3 linked regions of the Ovis aries genome follow. The protein of the gene in region 3 interacts with the protein of the main gene of each other region in a biochemical or structural test. Links are inferred from orthologs where the notes say so. Each region holds a gene or a part of one and is shown on either strand. Other genes may lie near its edges. The genes, in order: ARFIP2, CYTH2 and ARF6.

Evidence for each region.
Region 1: the proteins of ARF6 (region 3) and ARFIP2 form a complex in vitro, tested with the Homo sapiens proteins (2 studies listed by BioGRID). The link is inferred for Ovis aries from reciprocal best matches to the Homo sapiens genes ARF6 and ARFIP2.
Region 2: the proteins of ARF6 (region 3) and CYTH2 form a complex in vitro, tested with the Homo sapiens proteins (3 studies listed by BioGRID and IntAct, with this or other methods). The link is inferred for Ovis aries from reciprocal best matches to the Homo sapiens genes ARF6 and CYTH2.

What each region holds. Positions count from the first base shown.
Region 1 is NC_056068.1:46,314,219-46,316,927, reverse strand, and holds the end of ARFIP2 (arfaptin-2), read right to left. Parts: intron 2,242-2,709; coding exon 1,741-2,241; 3' UTR 1,316-1,740; coding exon of another isoform or gene 1,160-1,315; 3' UTR 590-1,159; downstream 1-589. UniProt on the Homo sapiens protein: Plays a role in constitutive metalloproteinase (MMP) secretion from the trans Golgi network. May have important functions during vesicle biogenesis at certain cargo subdomains, which could be predominantly utilized by secreted MMPs, such as MMP7 and MMP2.
Region 2 is NC_056067.1:54,900,707-54,904,070, reverse strand, and holds part of CYTH2 (cytohesin-2), read right to left. Parts: intron 2,702-3,364; coding exon 2,621-2,701; intron 2,149-2,620; coding exon 2,036-2,148; intron 1,916-2,035; coding exon 1,767-1,915; intron 1,224-1,766; coding exon 1,112-1,223; intron 1-1,111. UniProt on the Homo sapiens protein: Acts as a guanine-nucleotide exchange factor (GEF). Promotes guanine-nucleotide exchange on ARF1, ARF3 and ARF6. Activates ARF factors through replacement of GDP with GTP.
Region 3 is NC_056060.1:41,107,648-41,109,719, forward strand, and holds ARF6 (ADP-ribosylation factor 6), read left to right. Parts: upstream 1-1,039; coding exon 1,040-1,567; downstream 1,568-2,072. UniProt on the Homo sapiens protein: GTP-binding protein involved in protein trafficking that regulates endocytic recycling and cytoskeleton remodeling. GTP-bound form plays an important role in the transport of multiple palmitoylated proteins form the Golgi to the plasma membrane.

The sequences.
Region 1 (2,709 bases), on a different chromosome or scaffold from region 3:
CACTGACACCTTTGCCTAAGATGCTCTTCCCCTTACTCTTTACCTGGTCATTTAGTTACCCTCAGTTCTCACCTTTCAAGTTGACACCCCCACCTCCATCCATCTAGGCTCCATCCAGCACCCATCCTCGGTGCTCCCATAGCTCCCCACACTTCTGTATCCTAGTATTTATCACTGTATTGCAGTTGCCTGGTTACTTGCCTCTATCCCCCACTAGGCCGTAAGCACTGTGGGCAGGGACCATGTTTTATTCCCTGATGTCTCCCCAGGGTCTAGCAGCAGCAAATGAAAGCATTCAGTACAGTAAATATTTGCTGTATGAATGAACAGATGATGGAGGTTGGTAGGCCCAACCCCCTCTGGGCCCTGTGTTTTAAGACACATTGCTCTCCTGGCACAAGCCTAAAGGGCAAATAAAGCTTTGGCTCCTTCTGGGGCTGGGGGAGGGGACTAGGCTCTCCAGAAACCTGTGACTTCAGCTATCTGGCCCCAGCTCTCCTGAAATGGCAGGATTTTGATGTATTAGACTGAGCATTTATCCACCCAGACCACCCTCCTAGAATCCCCCACAAATTGACCTCACTGGGCCTGCTTTTATGAAAGGTTTATTCCTAGTGCTAGGCCCCAATCTTCCAGGGCTCTAAGCACAATTAAACTGGGTGGGCAGGTGAGGGGAGACCCACTCAGATGCACGGCCAAAAATGGGGCTCCCCATATCCCCACCCTTTTGGTCCCAGTCCCCTTCTCTGCAATGGGCACGCATTGAGGAGGGACAAAGGGTACTGGAGGCAACATCATTGGCCCAGGGGAGCCCAAGAAGAGCTGCCATTGGCTGACAGGGCCTTTTGAGGCTCTGCCATTGGTCAGGGGGCACACCCCAGAAACTGGGGATAGGCCTGAGGAGTGATGCCATTGGCCAGGGGGTGGTTTTGTCATAGCCTTTGGCTGTGGAGTGAAAGGAAAAGATCTGGGAATGAAGCCCAGTGGCCAGGAAGATAAAGGACAGGGCTGCAGCTGCTGGGCCTGCAGGCCCCCTGTCAGGCCCCAGCCAGGGAAAGGGAACCCAAACCAGAGTGCAGGTGGCAAGGTCCAAATCTCCCCCACCCTGGGACTACCCCTCCCGATGTCCTTCTTGATAGCCAGGTTGGGCTGGAGTGGCTCACTGCTCCTCTAGCCAGGAGGGCTTCTCAGCTCCTGGAGGCCGCAGCTTGATGTTGAACTGTTGCAGGGTCTGCTCCAGTTGTTTCTGGTTCCCAGCAAAGTAGGCGGACACGGCATTGTGGAAGAGCAGCAGCTGCTTGTGCATCACCTTGATCTGGGGGTCCAGCAGGGTCAACTGAGACTGGACTCAGACACCCTTTCTGAGGGGCTATGATCCTGAACCCAGATCAGGGGCACATGGACTCTGCTCTGATGGTGCTTTTGGAGTAGGGGCTGAACTCCACCAAGAGAGTCAAGGGATAAAAGCCTTGTAATAGAAGAAACCTAACTTGACTGGCTGGGCCAGGGGTTCTGGCACCTAAGCTCAAGGGGTGGTTTTTTCCCAGTTGTGTTCTTGGGATCAGCAGCCAAATCCTCTAATAGAAAAGGGCCACGGATCAGAGGGAGGGTGATAGGGAAAGGTCCAGGGATTGAGTGGGCTGGGGGATGTTCCCAGTCCTTAGCCAGGTTGCATTTCCCCATTCAGTGATGGGGAGTTTGAGGGGAAGGTCAGTGGTACAGATGGAAAGGTGGGCTGGGTCAAAGGGGTGGGGTTAGCACCTTGTTTTCTTCCAGGAACTTGAGCTTGATGGCCACATCTCCCCGCAGCTTCTCATATTTGTCCCGATGGGCCTGGAAAGTGGCCTGGGCACTCTCGAGTCGACCACGCGTCCCTGCATCCCGGGGGCCTAGGCTCAGCTCCTCTAAGTCTGTCCGGTAGGCATCATATTCCAGCCTGGGGAGGGGGTGATATGGGCTGGTCTCCACCCCTTTGCCCTCCACACATACTCTCCTACTTTTCTCAATTCTTTTTCCCCTAAAGCTCAAACTTTCACCCATGCCAGCCAACTCCCAATACCCTAGGCCCTGCCAGTGCCCACACCTGGCAGCCTCATACTGTTTGACAGTCATGAGAGTGTCTTCCATGGTCTTGGTTACCAATGTGTTGATGCTAGAGACAAAGAAGTTCACAGCCCCTAGCAATGTCTCTCCGTTCTTGCACAGCAGCTTCTGCGTCTCTGCATTGTAGCCAAATTCCTCCTGGCAGAAGGAAGGGACAGGCCTTGAGTAATAGTCACCACCTGACTGGAGCTAAAGGGCCCTTCCTCCCCCTCCTCTCCCAGGAGGAAACAGCCAATGACACCGGAACAACTCAGGACTGTCTCCAGCAAGGCTCTCTTAGCCAGAAAGTTAGTGGGGCCACCCTGGGGCTGGAATGTGGGAGTACGGGGTCTGTTCACAGGACTGGAATAGGGAAAGCTAGTGCAGCAGGCAAGGGAGGGGCTCTGATTAGGCTGAGCACAGAAGGCATTCTCGTCAATGCAGAGAAGGGTTACTCGTGAGGCACCTAGTGTGCCGCCTCCCCCACCACCTCCCACTTCTGGGCCTCTGTACAAACCCTTAGGCTGCCTCCACAGGTGAGTGCTGCTGGGGGCGGGGCTGGGCCCACCCTGGAGGGGTTCTCCCTCTGGGCTGCAGGAGGGAGGGAGGGAGGGAGGCTGAGGGGTG
Region 2 (3,364 bases), on a different chromosome or scaffold from region 3:
TGGCCTATCCTGCCCACAGAGACCCTGATTTCACGAGCCTGTGGCCTGGCCCCTGTGGTTTCCAGGTGAATCTCCCAGGCAGCCGGAGTGGAGAGCCGCTCCAACCCTCAGCCAGCTGCCCTTGCCGGACCTCTGCTAACTGAACCAGAGTCCGCTGGTGCCACATGTTCCAAGGGGGACCGGCCCCTGTCCCACCCATCCCACCGTAGCCAGGGGCTCCCAATTCTCCTGTCAGCCAAGGTGCATCCCCTCTCCAAGTGTGTGCTAAGTCACTTCAGTCGTGTCTGACTCTGTGACCCCATGGACTGTAGCCTGCCAGGCTCCTCTGTCCATGGAATTCTCCAGGCAAGAATACTGGAGTGGGTTGCCATGACCTCCTCCAGGGAATCTTACCAACTCAGGGATCAAACTCCCTGTCTCTAAAGTCTCCTGTGTTGGCAGGAGGGTTCTTTACCACTAGTGCCACCTGGGAAGCTCTTCCCATCCCCACTAGGAACCAATCCGACCAGCCGAGAAGTGCATCGGGGCATTCCGGGACCGTTTCTGCAGGCTCTTTACTGCCTACAGGTGACATCTGGGGAGGGAGGACACTTCTAGAACAGCCACGATGCTACAGGGCTGAGGAGGAGGCCACAGGAGGTGGGGATAAAAATACAGGAGTCTCAGAGTGGGTCTGCCGCGGACTCCCCGAGAGTTCCTGACAAGCAAGGTAAAAGGCCCAGTTGCTTGGGTTGTTCTGTTTGCTACAGCTGAGGGCAGCCTGAGTCATGAACACTCTCCCAGCAGACATGGCCTGTGCCCTTTGGTTCTTGGCTGTGTCCTCAGTCCCTACACCAGGGCCCGGCACGGAGGAGGGGTTTCATAAACCTGTGTGGGTGAACAGAAGGGGTGAGGCAGCACCGATTCCAAGGCCAGCCCCGGGCTTGGGCCCAACACAAGAGACCCGATCTCGTTCTCAACCCCACTTTTCAGATGTGGCTACTGAGGTTCAGAGAGGTCAAATCATTGTCCTAAGGTCACACAGTGGCTATGTGCGAAAGCTGAGTCTAAAACCTGGGCCTGCTAACTTCCCCCACTTTCAGAGGCAGCCAGCAGTCAGGAAGGGACGTACCCAGCTTAAGGAGCCAGCCCTCCCGGTCCGGGTTGAAAAAGGTGTGGGTCAGATCATTGCCGTCATCCTCAGGGATCTTGAAGGGCTCGTTTCGGATGCTGTCGTACAGATTCTGAGGGGTGAAGGCACAGTCAGCACCTCAGAGCTCCTGGGATCCTCCAAGGGCCACTGCAGTGGGGATGGGGCTCACTGGGAGTCAGTGAGACCACGGGTGGGATGGCCAAGGGAGGGAGGAGCCTGGGGAGGAAAGGGACGTAGAAGGGGGAAGAGTGGAGGGAGCTCCGGCGAGGAGAGAGGGAGAAACAAAAAAGATGCAGAGATGGAGACAGTGGAAGAGCTGCTAGGTTCTGAGAGAGACAGACAGACGGGGGAAAATGGGACAGACCAAGGCCCTCAAAGAGTCAAAGGGCCAGGAACCTGGGTTCAATCCTTGGTTGGGAACTAAGATCTCACATACTGCCTGGCGCAAAAGAAGAAAAAATAAAATGAAAAACAGACAAAGACAGGCAGCCAGAGAGAGAGAGAGAGAAGACTTGGGCAGGCCAGTGTGACCATGCAGTCCATGGGTGGGCGAGGCAGTGATCCTGGGTGGAAGGGGGCTCAGGCACTGAGAGAAAGGGGGATAGAGCTGAGGGGGCTGGGGAGGGGGCCTGACCCTGAGCAGCTCCTCAGGCAAGTCCCCGCCCTCGTTGATGCCCCGGTTCATGGCCACGAAGCGCTCCAGTCCCGGCTTGTCCCGGACGTTGGGGTTGTGGAGGCTGGTGTTCAGCATGATCACGGCGAAAGACAATACGTAGCACGTGTCTGCACCAGACAGTCATGGGGTGACGACTGGGGCATGCGAGCCCCCGGGACTCAGGAGCTCAAGTCCCCCCCCACCCCCAGCTCCCTCCTTCCCCAGGACCCTAGGGTCTGGGTCCCTACCTGTGGACTGGAAAACCCCAGGGTTGCACAAGCAGTAGCGCTGGGCAAAGGCCTCCATCATGCGGTCGATCTTCTGGGCTTCTCCAGGGAGGCGGAAGCTCCAGAGGAACTGCCTGCGGCAGAGACGAGCCGAGGGTAGATCCAGAACTGGTGGGGTGCCCCACCTGCTCTCAGTGCCCGTGGGAGGAACTGGCCAGTGAGGGCGCCACACCTGTGGCCAACCTGACCACTGAGCACCGGCCAGGAGCTCTGGATGATGTATATGCAAACGCCCTTGCTTTCTACCAAGGTTGCTGCATGGAACAGATGGTTGCTTGGGGCCTCTGCCGTCACGTGGGAGGAGGGTCTGCTGCGAGCAGCGCCCACCCCATGGCGAGCACAATCAAAAGCTGTCCTTCCCATTCCATTCAAGTGCCTGGATACGGCTATGCCTGAAGGAGGCTCTACTGTGGACTTTGGCAACACTCACGTGCAATCCATCCCCTAAGTTTTCGTTCTGTTTTTGCCTTCAGGAGGGGGTGATCATCACTGGTAAAGAAAGCCCTGACAGGTCCCTTCCTGCCTTTTCAATCCCATCCTCCTCACCTGAGGGCCTGCACCAGGTTGAGGTCAGTGAACTCGTGCAGATCCACGAAGGCATGAAGCACTGCCAGATTCAGCTCTTCCCTGGGAGGATAGGGACAAGGTCACGGGCAGGAAGGGGCTTGGGCAAGTGGGGGTAGAGAGGAGGCGAAGTACTGAGGAGGCTGTGGCCCCTCTTCTGCACAGTGGCTACCTCTGTAGCCAGTGAAAGTTTTGGCCAAGCCCCCATCACCAGCCTGGCACAGGGGTAGGGACACTTAGAACGCTCCTGGGAAGACCATCTGCCTTAAGAACTCTGGTGTGGCTGGAACTCTGTGCAGTTGGGAGAAACACAGCAAATGTGCTCTGCTGGTCATCTCTGATGAACCCCAGATTTCATAGATGCCCAGAGATGGCCTCCTATCCCCTAGAGACCCACGGAGAGTCCCAGGGCAACCCAGATGCCCACAAAACCAGCCCCACAATGTCAGACAACCGGACTGTCCCTATGCACCCCAGATGTCACAAGCGATCCCCAGACAGCTAGAAATGACGCCCATGCTCCCAGACTCTCCAGTCCCCATGCCCTCCAGCTGTCCCCAGACGGTCTCTGCGCCACAGATATCCAGAAGGTTCCACAGAACCCAGATGTCCACACAAACCCTGGGCATCTCACAGTCCTGTGCACCTCAGACATTTCAGACGGCCTCCACATGTCCCGGATGTGCACCGATGGTCCCCAGGTTTCCCAGACTTCACAGAAGGTCC
Region 3 (2,072 bases):
TGGAAGGAGCACGGGGAAGGCGTTCGTTGGGGGAGCGGGCGGTCCGTGAGCCCCACCCCTTGGAGCTCCGTAGAGGATCAGCTCCCCTGGATCGAGTTGGGAGTGGAGGAAGTGAGAGCGCAGAAGAAGGAACGCATAGAGGAAGGAATCGCTAGAGGAGCGACAGACAGGTGGGAGCTAGTCAGAGTCCCAGGTTCGCGGGGGTGCGGGTTGGCCGCACCCGCGAGACCTCCGGGCCGCCGTAGCCCCGCCCCCAGCGCGTGGCGCCCCGACGCTTGGCGCGCGGGCCGCTCTCCTTACAGAGGTCGCTCTTGCCCGAACGGTTGGACTCCCTCTGTTGCGCCTGCGTAGTCGGGAGGGGAAGTGAGGCGGTTTCCTCGGCGCCTTTTCCGGCGGCGGCAGCGGCAGAACTGGGAGGAGGCTGTGGAGGCCGGAGGGAGCCCGCGCGCGGGGCGGCGGCTGGAGGTAACCTCCTGGGCTGAGCTGACGAGGCGGGCCCCCTCGGCTTCCACTCTCCGCTGGGGCTCCCGCAGTAACTCCTTTTTCCCTCTCTGTGTCTCCGCAGGCAGCGCACCGAGTTCCCGCGAGGATCTATGACCTGACCGGGCGCCAGAGCCGCGCTGCCTCTCGGGTGGCCTGGGTCGGTGGTGAGCGCGGTGCTCGCGGACCGGGGACCGGGCCGAAGGGCCGCAGTCTTCCAGGAGAAGGCGGAGGAGCGGGAACCGCGGCGGCGCTCGCGCGGCGCCTGCGGGGGGAAGGGCAGTTCCGGGCCGGGCCGCGCCTCAGCAGGGCGGCGGCTCTCCCGGCGCAGACTCAGCGCCCGGCGGCCGCGGCGCCTGGAGGAATCAAGTTGTGTGGTGGGTGATGCCCGAGTGAGCGGCGGGCCCGGGCCTCTGCCCAGAGGAGGCGACTCCCACGCAGGCCGCACGGGCGCCCTCGCGACTGGGAGGCTCCGTTTCTGTTTCGCGGCTGCGGCGGCGTTGTTGGCGGAGGGGACCCGGGACACCTGAATGCCCCCGGCCCCGGCTCTTCCGACGCGATGGGGAAGGTGCTATCTAAGATCTTCGGGAACAAGGAAATGCGGATCCTCATGTTGGGCCTGGACGCGGCCGGCAAGACAACCATCCTGTACAAGTTGAAGCTGGGCCAGTCGGTGACCACCATCCCCACTGTGGGTTTCAACGTGGAGACGGTGACTTACAAAAACGTCAAGTTCAACGTATGGGATGTGGGCGGCCAGGACAAGATCCGGCCGCTCTGGCGGCATTACTACACCGGGACCCAGGGTCTGATCTTCGTAGTGGACTGCGCCGACCGCGACCGCATCGACGAGGCCCGCCAGGAGCTGCACCGCATTATCAATGACCGGGAGATGAGGGACGCCATAATCCTCATCTTCGCCAACAAGCAGGACCTCCCCGATGCCATGAAACCCCACGAGATCCAGGAGAAACTGGGCCTGACCCGGATTCGGGACAGGAACTGGTATGTGCAGCCCTCCTGTGCCACCTCGGGGGACGGACTCTATGAGGGGCTCACATGGTTAACCTCTAACTACAAATCCTAATGAGCATTCTCCACCCATCCCCCGGAAAGGAGAGAAATCAAAAACCCATTCATAGGATTATCGCCACCATCACCTCTTTCAATTGCCACTTTCTCTTCTTTTGAATTTGAACTCTGGAGTTACAGTTCTGCGGTTTGGGGGAGGGGGTTAGGGATTTTCTTTCTTTTTTTGCTTTGCGTTAGGATGCTCTGATCTGACTTTTTGACATGAACACAAAGTGCTAGATGCTCTTGTTGACTTCCAGCAAATGGGATGGGGGAAATATAGCAGTTCTTGGTAAATTCCTTTATAATAATGGTTTGATTTTTTTATCTCGAGAGAATCTTCTTTTCCAATGTATGCTTTTTTCCTTTTTGCCCAGTTTCCTTATCACTTGCTGTAGATGGCTTATTTTGCATTCATGCAGACTATGTTGCAAGTCTGTTTCATCTAGTAAACTGAAAATTATTGCTTAATCAAACTGCTGTTTGTCTTTTATATTTAAGGCCTTTTCGCCCCCTCTTAT